3 linked regions of the Oryzias latipes genome follow. The protein of the gene in region 1 purifies or fractionates together with the protein of each later gene. This does not show direct contact. Links are inferred from orthologs where the notes say so. Each region holds a gene or a part of one and is shown in the gene's direction. Other genes may lie near its edges.

Region 1 (4,064 bases):
TGGACTCGGATGGACTATTATCTCAAAACCCAGAGTCAGTTGATCCACCAGCATGTGATTCCCCACAGAAATCATCTTCAGAGAGTATGGAAAACACAGCACCGTACTTCACACGCAGTGGTCGAGCAGTCATACGTCCTGCCAGATACAGAGACTAGTTAATGTGACAGTTTTGTGTTCATACTGTTGCTTTGATTTGTTTAATGGTTACGTAAAAGAAAAGAGTATGTTCGTTTTAAAACATTTTAAGAAATAAGTTAAATGTTTGTATGTCGAAGTTTCAGACTACTGCACTAAGATGCACATTGTTAAATGTAAGGTTGTTTACAATCTGAATTTGCCTAGCCATTATGTTAAGAGCATAAGACCGTCTAATGTTCAAATTATTTAGAGGGTGCTTTTGTGTTTAAACAACTGTTGAAGATGTTATGACTAACATGTCTTGGGAAAAGAGGGATGTGGTATATTGTGATAGACAGTAATAACCACCGCCACCAATAGATGGTGCTGTCGGCCTGTATATGCCATGAGGGGTTTCAGAGTAAAGTACATGTAAAAGCTCTTGCACCGAAAGCTGTGTCCCTGTCGTCGGTCCTAATTAAGAGACCCGCTGATAGCACCCACGCTAAGGTAACTCGGAGCAACATCATATAAAGTCACAACAATTATTATTATAATTATCATCATCATCATCAGTCTAATGGAAAACATTTTTTTCCAAGTATTGAAAATCATGATCGTATTTGTTATTTTTATTGTTTTTACATGTTTGAAATAAATAAATCACTACATACATTCGGTATAAGTTAGATACTCTGTATGATTAATGGCTTGAAATGTGGAACCCCCTTTTCAGCAGGAAAACAGAAAGTTGCCGGTGTTTGCCGACAGGGGGCAGTAAATCCCCAAAGATTCGGTGCTATGTCAACCCAAACACCCAGAAGAAGAATGCGGATATGGTTGTTTTTATTGTTAAAGGGGGGAGTGTTTCTCATCCCGGCTCAGTTTCTGCCGTTTCAGCTCAGCAAACAAAGCTCCGCTTGGACTAAGATGGTGCGTAAATAGCAGCTTGCCTCCGTAAAGTCCCCCCACGCCCACCTCAGGTTGGTTTACAGTCCTGGAATAGGAGACGTTTCTCCTCTCGGGGTTTTCTCGTCTTACCTGCTCTTGTCCCTCTGCTGTCGGCTGCCGCTCTCTCGGCTCTCAGACATTGTTTTCCGTATGTGTCATCTACAGCTGAAGACTCTGTTTTTTGTAGCCTGGCTGCTGGGCTACGTGGCGTTTCTGCTCTCCATCAGGAGAATGTGGACCGCTAAGCACGCGCGCAGCCCGCTCGTGCGCTCTCTAGTCCTGAATATGGTGAATGAGCACGAGGCCAGTGGTGCCAGGGAAACACACGAGGTACGACTGTCCTTATTTTTTTTCTGAAAATATAAAACTACAAAATCTAAATTTACAGTGTTTATTTTAAATCCAAGAATGTCCTTATTCGAATGTGTCACGAATTTGTCATTAGTTATTTATTCGTTGCTCGTTTAGCCTCTTTGCACTGACCTAAATGATTCAGAGGGATGCTGAAAAGAGAAACTTCTGTTTTGCAAAAGAAACTATGCTGAAAGAGACAATGTGACAGTAGTTTTAAAGATGACTGGGATTGAAACACAAGGGGGGAAATTGGTTTTGCACAGGAAAGACTATTTTTTAACATTTAAATAGGAAATAATTCTTAAATTCTACTTTCTGCTGTGTAGTTTAACACAGCCCCACCTCTGCTGAGCTGAGAAAATTCAATCCAAACAGACCTGAACTGTTTTCAGGGAGGGGCTGTGGGGTAGGTAAAGGGTGGTATTGTATGAGACTGGTGACAGGAGATGGAGTTCACCTCAGGACTTCTTAAAAAGTGTTGTGAAATCAAAACCTCTTGTTCTGTTTGTTCAGTGGTACCGATGCTGCCCAGATCTGCTGGGAGAATCCGTCCGGCCTCTCTTCATCCAAAGCCACTTGGACTCGGACACCACGGATTTTCTCAACAGGAGCGCAGAGAAGTCCGGCTGGCTGTTCACGCAGCTCTACCACTCGCTGGTGTCCACCGTCCTAAGCCCCGTTTTGTCGCGCACCTCCATTAACGGGTGAGCGCTAGTGGGTGTTTGAATTGCAGCTTGTGTTCCTCTTCCTGCTCCTGACCCTCCTCTGTGTCACAGGGTTTTGGGGAGAGGGTCTATGTTCGTGTTTTCGTCCGAGCAGTTCCAGCAGTTGCTCCGGATCGGCCCAGACTGGACGGCAGAGAGACTCCTGGACCTTGGAGCTGGTGATGGAGGGGTCACAGAGGTGATGGGAGTGCATTTCAGGCAGGTCTTTGCAACTGAGGTGTCTGTGCCAATGAAGTGGCATCTGCAGAGGAGGAACTACAAGTGAGTAGAAGCATATCCTAAAAGCTTTCACAGGTTCCTTCCCTTCAAGCCAATACAAGAATGCAACCACAGAATAACACTGTGTTCTTTTGGGTTGAAATTAATTGGCAATTAGAAGTTTTTCCTCTCTGTCTTTTTGTTGTCTTTTCCCGTGTGCCACAGGGTTCTGGGTATAGACGAGTGGCAGCATGTTGGATTTCAGTATGATCTTATCAGCTGTCTGAACTTGCTGGACCGCTGCGAGGATCCACTGCACCTCCTGCGGGAAATAAGAAAAGCCTTGGTTCCCAAAACCGGACGGCTCGTCTTGGCTGCTGTGCTTCCCTTTCAGCCCTACGTAGAAGTCGGTCAGTGAGGAATCCCATTTCTGTCTCTTCTGCTGACGTTTCATCTAGCTAGAAATCCAAGCATCGTTTCTCTGCTTGACAGGCGGGAAGTGGGAACGACCAAAAGAACACCTGAAAGTTAAAGGAAAGACGTGGGAGGAGCAGGTGACCGATCTGTCCAGCGAGGTTTTCCCGCGGGTGGGGTTTGAGGTGGAAGCGGTGACGCGTCTGCCGTACCTGTGCGAGGGAGACATGTACAATGACTACTATGTGCTGGATGATGCGGTTTTTGTTCTGAAGGCCTCCGGCGACTCGGAGCAGTCTGTTCATGAGCTCTGAACACAACACGGGGCCCAAAATTTCTTCTCAGTACCTGGATTTTAGTGCAATTCTTCTTCTTCTTCCTCATGCATTTATTCATCTCGGAAATTTAGAAGCAGGGAGTTGGGCGCAACACAGCAGTGATTTCCTTTTTCTTTTTTTTTTTAGTTTGTTATACTGTTATTTCAAACGAAAACCTAAGGGGGATCATCCTTTCTAAAAGTTTTTCTGTCTTCCAAGTCCATTATTTGTGATGTAAATGTTTAACTGTCAACGTTTTAACCAAAATTTCTGACAATATTTGCATAAACGGTTCAATTTATAGTACTACATATTTGATTTCACCATTGCACAAGATTTTTACAATTGCCTGTTCACCCTCTGAGACATAAAATCCCACAGAGGTTTTCCAGGTGAAATATCCCAGAGGTGAAGCACTTTATGAGCGTTTCACGTTGTTCCCCCCTCAAGGTTGGTAATGATGGCAAGATCCCAAGCATTAGTTGCACAATGCTGGACGCCGCTCCACTAAGATGCATTTGCTACACGACTGCAGGGAAAACATGCCGCTTGGCCTATAGGAGTGTCACACCTTTTGGCATCTTTCTGTTGGATTATCAGCGTAATTCTGTGCCACGTTTGGCACCACCAGATCCTAAACTTGATCATATTTTACGAACTGTTTCATTTCCAGATCACTCGTAATGGATCTATGCACCTGACCAAAACAGTTTTAACAACTTGAAATCTTTTCCATCCTTCGATTCAGTATTAAAGCCAAACCTCAAGCTAAACTTTATGGAATTCCATGCTTTTGTTTTGCTTTGTTGCACTGAATTTAATATCAAGTAGTGAATTTCTTTCTAAGTGACAACAGGAAACCGAAAAGTGCTGCATACGTTTGATATATTCACAATAAGAGTATCTGATTGTAGCTTTAGATCTATAAATTCGATCTGTTTTTACAGGATGTTTAGGTTGATGAGTTTTTATTTATCTTTGCTGT
Region 2 (4,071 bases), on another chromosome or scaffold:
ATTACAAGCTGCAGCAGCAGAAGGACCTGATCTTTCTCGAAGACATAGGTAGGGGAATCCAACAAAGACCTCTGGACTTACTGAACTTAGATACAGCTGGGCTATGAATTTATGAATGAATGAAATATTTATTGTGTTTATATCAAGTAAATAAAGTATCTTTTTTTTGTAATCTAACAATGAACTTTTATTCAATAAACAAGTTTTAAAGCCATTCTCAGCTCAAACCAAATTCTTGACAAAAGAAATCTGCCTGATTATTAAAAAGCGCTTTCAAGTCGTGTTAATCAGATCCCTGCTGTTTGATTTTAGATGCGGAGATTTTGTCTCCTGGGAAGAAGAAGGTCCACTTTGCTGGTGAAAACATAGAGAATGAGCAGCCAGAGGGTCGCCAGAGTGCAACGTCTCAGGACTTGATGAAATTGAGACTGCAGGCTGCAAAGCTACGCGCCCAAAAACTCAGCGAGATGGAGCAAATGTGCCAATTCAAGAGCAGGCAGATGCTCGGCATACGCTGAGCGCATCCTGATGTTCTTCATGACTGAATTACAACTGGATTTTATGTTTTTATTTAATAATTGTTTGGCATTTTAGTGAAGCTAATTTATCTTGTGTATTTCAAGTTTTGTTGTTGCTCTCTTTGTTGTCCAACTATATTTTAAATGATTTATAGATTGTGTAAATGTCAATGGCAGCTGTTGAAAGTGTTAAAATAGTGTGCACATTATTGCTGTTTTAACAACCCTTTCATTAAAAAAAAAGATTTTATGAACCACTGTTGAAAATTAATAAACAAAAATGTCACAAATGGGTTTTTTATTTATTATGAACAGACGAATTCAAAGAGTAAATAAATGATTTTAAATGTTGCTTTGAAGCAATCAACATAAACGAGTTAAAAGAGAAACAGTAAATCTCATAGTCCAATGACAATTTAACGTCTGCTCTCCACGAGAGGTCATCAGTTTCTAATAAAAACAAATGTGAGTCCATCCAAATGAAGGAGTAAGCCAGGGTAGTTGTAGTGAAGCGTGCCTGACCAAAAAAAAAAAAAAAGGAAATGAGTTGTCGCGGGATTTCAGTTGTGGACAGCGTGCGTAGCAACCCTGGTTGTCCTGCTAAGTCACGCCTCCTACTTGCGTGATTGGTGAAATAGACCAATCACATGGGTTCTAGTTTTCCACTCACCAATGGGAACGGTGATGGGCGGGTCTTGCCCTTCGTGTTCCGTGTGAAAACTTTGCCCGGCTCGGGTGCAAAGTTTCAACCGTCTGCAAACTGGAAATCGTCGGCAGATGAGTCTGGAATATCCTGGAAAAGAACACGGTGTATTCACACGGTTACCAGGTTTAGGGCTTTGTGGAAAAATGTTTGCGGTGTTCGTTGGGTGTAGATGAGTGATGGTGGCGGGTGGTAGATAAAAACAGACCGGGAAGACGCAGTAGCTCGGATTTTATTGTCTGTTTGGAGCAGTTAGCTTAAACGTAGGTTAGGGAGCTAGCTTACCGTCGTCCCGGTGTCTGTCGTACATCTTAGACATTTTCTAGACTAAAACTTGAATTAAAAATACTAGTAAATTTATAAAATGGCTTGCGAACCCAACCGAGCGCGCCTGCTCTGTATGCTTTCACTGACTTTTGGCTTCTTCCTGGTGGAGGTGGTGGTCAGTCGCATCACTTCGTCTCTGTCGATGCTGTCGGACTCCTTTCACATGTTGTCCGACGTGATCGCGCTGATCGTGGCTTTGGTGGCCGTGCGCTTCGCCGAGAAGACTCAGGCCACCAACAAGAACACCTTCGGCTGGATCCGGGCGGAGGTGATGGGGGCTCTGGTCAACGCCGTCTTCCTCACGGCGCTGTGCTTCACCATCGTGCTGGAGGCGGTGGAGCGTTTCACCGAACCCCATGAGATCGACAGCCCGATGGTGGTCGCCGGGGTCGGCGCGGCGGGGCTACTGATCAACCTGCTGGGACTCTGCTTGTTTCATGGGCACGCCGGGGGAGGCCACGGCCACTCGCACGGGGGACACTCTCACGGGGGTAAGGGCAAAAAGGGGAAACATGGCAAGTCCCAGAAGGCCGGGAACGGATCTGCTGGAGAAGAGACCAACTACCTGGTGGGGAATCACACCAGCAACACCAAACCAAGCATGGGTATGTATGGAAACGTGCATTATATTTGACATGGTGGCGTTAACTGAGCCTAATCTTACTGTAAACAGCTCAGATTCCACCTTAAATCATCAGCTTTTCAAACAACTGCCTGACTAATCTGTATTGTGTTCTTGTCAGCTTCAGTCTTGACATTTATTTGTTTTCAAATGCATATAATTTGTTGAGTCACTACATCCCTGAAAAGTGTTGCGACACAAGCAAGACGTTTCTTGCTTTGTGAGAAGTACTCCTTTACCAAAGCTATCAAAACAACCTGGGATTTGTAGCCTTTATTTTGTGTTCAAAAAAGACCCCCTTCAGTGATGCTGATGACAGCCTCGCCTTCATGTGTTTCTATGAACACATCTTTTCTGTGCATAAGGATTTCAAAATAAGATTATCTCCTCCCTTCTTCATTCAAAGAAGGGTTAAAATCAAGTAAAGAACACCCTCCTCTTTTGTTAAGCCCTGCCAGTTTCAATAAATGAACCTTCATTTCTTCCACCCCTGTACACCGATTGCTATTAGTGGGTCATACATCAGAGACTCTGGGACTCGACAGCCCCGGACACATCATTAGTCCCTGATGAACGACCTGGAGGTGCCCTGAGAGAAACGGCTTCCTAAGCTCTGCCTTTTTGTTACTAAATCTGAATTAGGAAGACTCAGATGCCACATGCGAAGTTTGCTTTCTGTGTTTCACTGGTTTGCGCATGGCCCCGAGCTCTTGTGCTAAAGAATCAGTCACAAGGTTGAGGAGCCCTCTGCAGAAAAGCTGCTTTTGTTCAAAAGGGAAAACATGTTGGTTGATGTGATTGAACATATCACAGTGGACTAACGCAGATGTTGCATAGAACAACAATCTTCTTTAAACTCGCTGCTGGTATCTTGAGGTCAAAGTCTATGTGATTATGTAGTGTGACACTACAGAAGTCTAAACCTTCTTCTACGGTTGTTTTCTGCAGAGGTCAGCTGTAAAGACAGCACAGAGGTGCAGATGAACGGCAACACCCACTTCGAGGAGATGGAATCCGAGGCCGATGCGTCGTCGCAGCTCAACATGCGCGGCGTCTTCCTGCACGTCCTGGGGGACGCCCTGGGCTCCGTCATCGTGGTGGTGAACTCTGTCATCTTCACTTTCGTGTGGAAGCCCTGCGAAGGTCCAAGCTGTACGAACCCGTGCATCAACAGCCACAAGACAGACCACCGCCACATCAACCACACTCTAGTGGATCTGCAGGACACGGACACAAAAGCCGGGCCCTGTTGGGTGCTCTACCTGGATCCCACGCTGTGCATCATCATGGTGGGCATATTGCTCTACACCACCTACCCTCTGCTCAAAGAGTCCGCTCTCATCCTGCTGCAGACCGTCCCCAAGCAGATCAACATGCACCGCCTCAACGAGCGCCTGCTCAGCCTGGACGGCGTCCTGGCCATCCACGACCTGCACATCTGGCAGCTGGCAGGAAGCAGAATCATTGCCACGGCGCACATCAAATGCCACGACCCCACGTCCTACATGGATGTGGCCAAACGCATCAAGGACTTCTTCCACGACGAGGGCATCCACGCCACCACCATCCAGCCTGAGTTCGTCACCTTTAACTCCGAAACTCAAGGCTCCCAGTGCGAGCTTTCCTGCCGGACTCAGTGCGCTCCTAAGCTGTGCTGCGGACAGAAGTCTGCCAGTGACTCTAAAGCAGCTGCTGCCTCTGGCCTAGAGGTGATCAGCGAGGCTTCGGAGCAGGTTCCCAGCATTCAGGGGGGCCCTCGGACTGAGGCGGAGGTTGCTGTCACCAGAGAGGTGGAGTCCTCTGTGTGAGTCCGGGATTTCACATAAAGAGAGGCAGCAGGAAAACTACCACTTTGTGCTTAAGCATTACTCTCATTTTTAGAGGGTTTAATCACCCTTTTT
Region 3 (4,055 bases), on another chromosome or scaffold:
ACAAAGGTGGTTTGAACTGATTTATAATAACTTCAAAGAACGTTAACAGATTGAGTAGTCCCAAAAATCAAATTGCGAACCAAATTCATTTTTTATAGTCAAGATGAGAGTCTGGTTGTTCTCATTATCTATCTACATGCCTGTCAATGTGAATGACTGAAGGAAGGAATTCTGCTGCTCTCCAAGGTTAATGACAGCAGTATTCGGTTAAAAGCAGGTTACTCTTTAAGGACATTTTTTTTTATATGTATTTCATGAGATAATACATTTAGCTTTCAACTACCATGTCTAACTGTAATGCCTGCTTTTTGGTAGGCCACATTAACACTGAATGCAGAATTTCTCACCCATTAAAAGTTGAAAATTAAGGCTTAAGTGTTAGAGGCACATGGACTGCAGCTTACAACTATTATCTTTATAAAACAAAACAAAAGGTAAATTGTTAACTATGGTTTAAATAATTAGACAGAGCCCTCTTAAGCTTTTAAAATACTTCAATTAGGAAATGCCAAATATGTGTTTATTTTTAGTGTAATATCAGACTTGTCCACAAAAAATTGCTCCTTTTGACATAAAAATCCATTGTTTTTCTAAGAAACTGTAACATTTGGTACATCCCAGTTTGTATCAAATTAAGGGATAAAAAGGACACAATGGAATACCGATTTTTTTTTTTTATATTTAAACACAATCTGGCCGGCTACAAAATTAACATTTAAAATAACTAAATGTAATTTTACATTATATTCCTTAAGAAAATAAAGATTTCTTAAAGAGATTAAAGTAAAATCTGGAAAAAAGGCAAATAATTCAAAAATGTAACTCTTAAATTCCTATTTTCTGTTTGTTAAAGTTGTTTTTTTATCATGAATTTTACATAGCAGGTTAAGTAGAAAGTGTTTCTGCACTGAATTAACATGAAACCTTTGAGACACAAAGCACATAAGCACCTGCATTTCGCCTGAGAAGGCTCTTTCTTTGACTCTCTGCGCCATTTGCGTAAGCCTACGGCAGTCCTATTGCAGTTATGGAGGGAAATGACGTAGAGCAGCTTCCTGAATTCGCCAACCATCCGTCCAGTGACGTAAATTCATGCGGACTTTTCCTTTTTTTTTTAGTACCGAGCGGAGAGGAGATGCACACGGCACTCGAGTGAGGTAACTGTATAAAAAAACCTCCACTTGTTTTCATTCACTCCCACAACATGGACCGTGGTAGCGTTAGCTACGGTGTACAATTCTAATATTCTAGTTGTTCACATCCAGAGCAGAGTTAGACGCATCAAAGCAGCGCGAGGCTCTTTGGAGACACGAGGCTAATTTCCTGTGTGGTCTGCTAGCTAACAGTTGCTGCTTTAAATCCGCGCGTTTACGAATGGGGCGCGAGGCTAAAAATCGAGTGGGATATTTAAGCAGCGTATTAGCCAAAACGGGGCATTGCCTTTGCTCGGGAGAAAACGCTGGCGCGCGTTTGGTAGTTCGTTTTGTGAAAGTCTGGTTCCAGTGACGCGGAAGAAGAGCCGCGGTCAGCTTTAGTGTGTGTCTTGGAGGCGCACCACGTGTAGCGTCTGCCGGTCAACAGATGGGCAGTGTCGCCGCTTCTTCACCGCGGAGGCTCGCCAGTTTCGTGGTCGAGATGGACTTTGACCAACGTGTAGAGTATTCCGCTGCGGTGTAGAGTGTGTGGAGCGCGGCGCTTCATATACCTTAGCTTTTCGTTGTGCTGCACGCGGCTTTTCTGTCCCCATCTGTTACACAGTTGAAAATGCGTTTCGTCATGGTGAACAGTTCCTATCTGATTAGCCTAAATCAGTGTCTCTACAGGCTTAAGCACGCGAAGAAAGCTGCATGTAGGAACTAAAACGTGTCAACTTGAAACTACGTTTATATGCGTAATCTGGTTGGGTTACGAACTCTTAAAGCTTTTTACATTTGTTGAAAGTTTGACCTGGATTTAAAGTGAGGCATTGAGAAGTTTGCTCACTTCTGATTCAGTGTTTCTCTCCCTGTTCAAACCCAGCCCACGGTGCATCAGCATACCCTCCCATGAAGGTGATTCATGGTTACCACTTTGAGGAATCCAGCCAGCTGAAAACATCACATGTTTAAGAAGCTCCTGTGTCATTTTTTTCCAAAAGTTAAATGGAACAGTTTTATGTTGGATGATGGGCTGTATTTTGTTAACCTGTAAAGTGACTGTTCTTTCTTAAATAGTTGAACTGGAACTGGAAACATTAGTCATAGTAAACCAGTGCTGGTAGTCGTACTTTCTATCAGAATGCAGTCATCTGTCCTGTTCATTAAAACAAAACCCTAACCAGATGGACCAGTTGGTCCCTCTATATGTTTTGTTGCTGGCGTCTTAAATATGCAAACAAACTTGGAATGAATCACAGGTGACTTTGGCAGAGTTTGGCGCCTGATGGCCTTCCTGTCACTGACACAGGAAGACTTGGTTCTCCTTGTGGCTACACAGCTAGGCTGTAGCGGGAAGGGTATTGGCCAAAGGCTCACACTGGATGAAGCTCCTTGCGCCCCCTTGGGAATCAAACCCTGATTTCTCATGTGCCAGTCCTACACATTATGGATATTTCTGCCAAGATTTTGCTTATGTTGTGCTTTGTTGAATTACAGCTTTTTACTAATTGTCAGGGTTTTGATCTGTTTGATGTCAGTCTTTCTAACAGTAATCGACCAAACAAATCCTGAATACTACTTTTTTTTTTCCTCCTAAATAAAAGCATTATTCTTCAGACGAAGAAGCTGCATGTGTCAGCATGATTACATTAGCAGTTTAATGAACTTTGAAATGACAATCGAACAATTCTTATAACTGGCCATGGCCTCCATCTGTGTTAAATTTAAATCCTTTCTTGATTTTCTTATATTAAAGCAATTATCGCAACAGGAAGGTAATTTATAACAGATGCCCTATGAGCTCTTATACTTTAAATTTACCGTTTGACACAAACTAAAAAAAAAAAAAACCAAGTGGGAAAGTGACAGATTTAGGAACAAATTTGATGTCAAGTAATAGGGAAACCATTAAAAATACTAAACCTTATAAAAGCTTTGTCATTTCAATTAAGGATTTATTGTGAGGTTATTTTTACCCTGGTTTGCATGTTATGATGACGTCTTTTTTTCTATGCTCATTGTATTACTGTTGTTCTTTAAAAGAAAAGAATAGAGTAAATGTGCCTTAGTTGACCAAAAATATTATGAGGATAAAATCTGTAATATAGTTATCTTTGCAGCAGTGCGCATAACCCTAAACAGATGAGCAAACATATTTCCAAATAGCCCAAAAAACAAAATTAAAGATTTGAATTAGCCAAAATCCTAACCCATGTTTAATTGAGTTTGCACTGGAACACTAAAAAAGACAGCTTCATTTTTTATTGAAGTAAATATTTAAAAAACAGAATTTTGGATATATTTTTATTTTAACAACTTGATTGTCTTGGTTTAAAGAAAAGAGAAGGGGACAAATGTAATATTTATGCAGTTAAATTCTATGTTTTATGTCTTGAGACATTTCCATGTTTGATTTAATGATTGGCAGATGTTATTGGCACATATTTATGCGTGACCAAGCACAAAAACCGACTGACATTCATGTTGGCCACACGTAATCAATGGAGCCAGGTGCACTTTGCTGCATTGGCCGCATGTATTTTAAGCATGTCCAAAGCTAAATATTGTTGTTGGTCACATGTATTAACAGTCCTAACCTTTTTTCCTGGATTGTACAACCAAAAAAATGAGAGTTCAACACTGGCCTTAGAAAGTTACATGCTAATAGTCACCTTCTTAATGATTTCTTGGTGAACTTTTGCTTCCAATTTTTTCTGGTGTGACTCTATAATGACGTTGGCCCCTGAAACAGGTCATTTTTTTCGTGAAAGTGTTTAAACGTCAGTGACTTCACAACAAAATGTAATAAGAATTTGCATTATTTTAATCCAGCTAGGTATAATAAATTCTTTTTGTATTTTTTTTGTTGTTGTTGTTCAAAAGAACAAATATAGACCAGATCTAAGTTTTTTTTCCCTT

What was found. Proteins that work in one complex are often made in the same cells at the same time.
Region 2: the proteins of mettl9 (region 1) and slc30a1 purify together in Homo sapiens (co-immunoprecipitation; 3 studies listed by BioGRID and IntAct, with this or other methods). This does not show direct contact. The link is inferred for Oryzias latipes from reciprocal best matches to the Homo sapiens genes METTL9 and SLC30A1.
Region 3: the proteins of mettl9 (region 1) and zinc transporter ZIP10 purify together in Homo sapiens (co-immunoprecipitation; 3 studies listed by BioGRID and IntAct, with this or other methods). This does not show direct contact. The link is inferred for Oryzias latipes from reciprocal best matches to the Homo sapiens genes METTL9 and SLC39A10.

Annotation. Positions count from the first base shown.
Region 1 is NC_019877.2:20,101,710-20,105,773, forward strand, and holds the start of mettl9 (methyltransferase-like protein 9), read left to right. Parts: upstream 1-1,206; 5' UTR 1,207-1,221; coding exon 1,222-1,401; intron 1,402-1,938; coding exon 1,939-2,129; intron 2,130-2,201; coding exon 2,202-2,411; intron 2,412-2,573; coding exon 2,574-2,758; intron 2,759-2,840; coding exon 2,841-3,076; 3' UTR 3,077-4,064. UniProt on the Homo sapiens protein: Protein-histidine N-methyltransferase that specifically catalyzes 1-methylhistidine (pros-methylhistidine) methylation of target proteins.
Region 2 is NC_019882.2:6,335,954-6,340,024, forward strand, and holds the start of slc30a1 (zinc transporter 1), read left to right. Parts: upstream 1-1,229; 5' UTR 1,230-1,585; coding exon 1,586-2,153; intron 2,154-3,118; coding exon 3,119-3,978; 3' UTR 3,979-4,071. Other genes in the region: serine/threonine-protein kinase Nek2, read left to right, coding at 1-48, 313-518. UniProt on the Homo sapiens protein: Zinc ion:proton antiporter that could function at the plasma membrane mediating zinc efflux from cells against its electrochemical gradient protecting them from intracellular zinc accumulation and toxicity.
Region 3 is NC_019879.2:3,433,219-3,437,273, forward strand, and holds the start of zinc transporter ZIP10, read left to right. Parts: upstream 1-1,213; 5' UTR 1,214-2,045; coding exon 2,046-2,051; intron 2,052-4,055. UniProt on the Homo sapiens protein: Zinc-influx transporter. When associated with SLC39A6, the heterodimer formed by SLC39A10 and SLC39A6 mediates cellular zinc uptake to trigger cells to undergo epithelial-to-mesenchymal transition (EMT).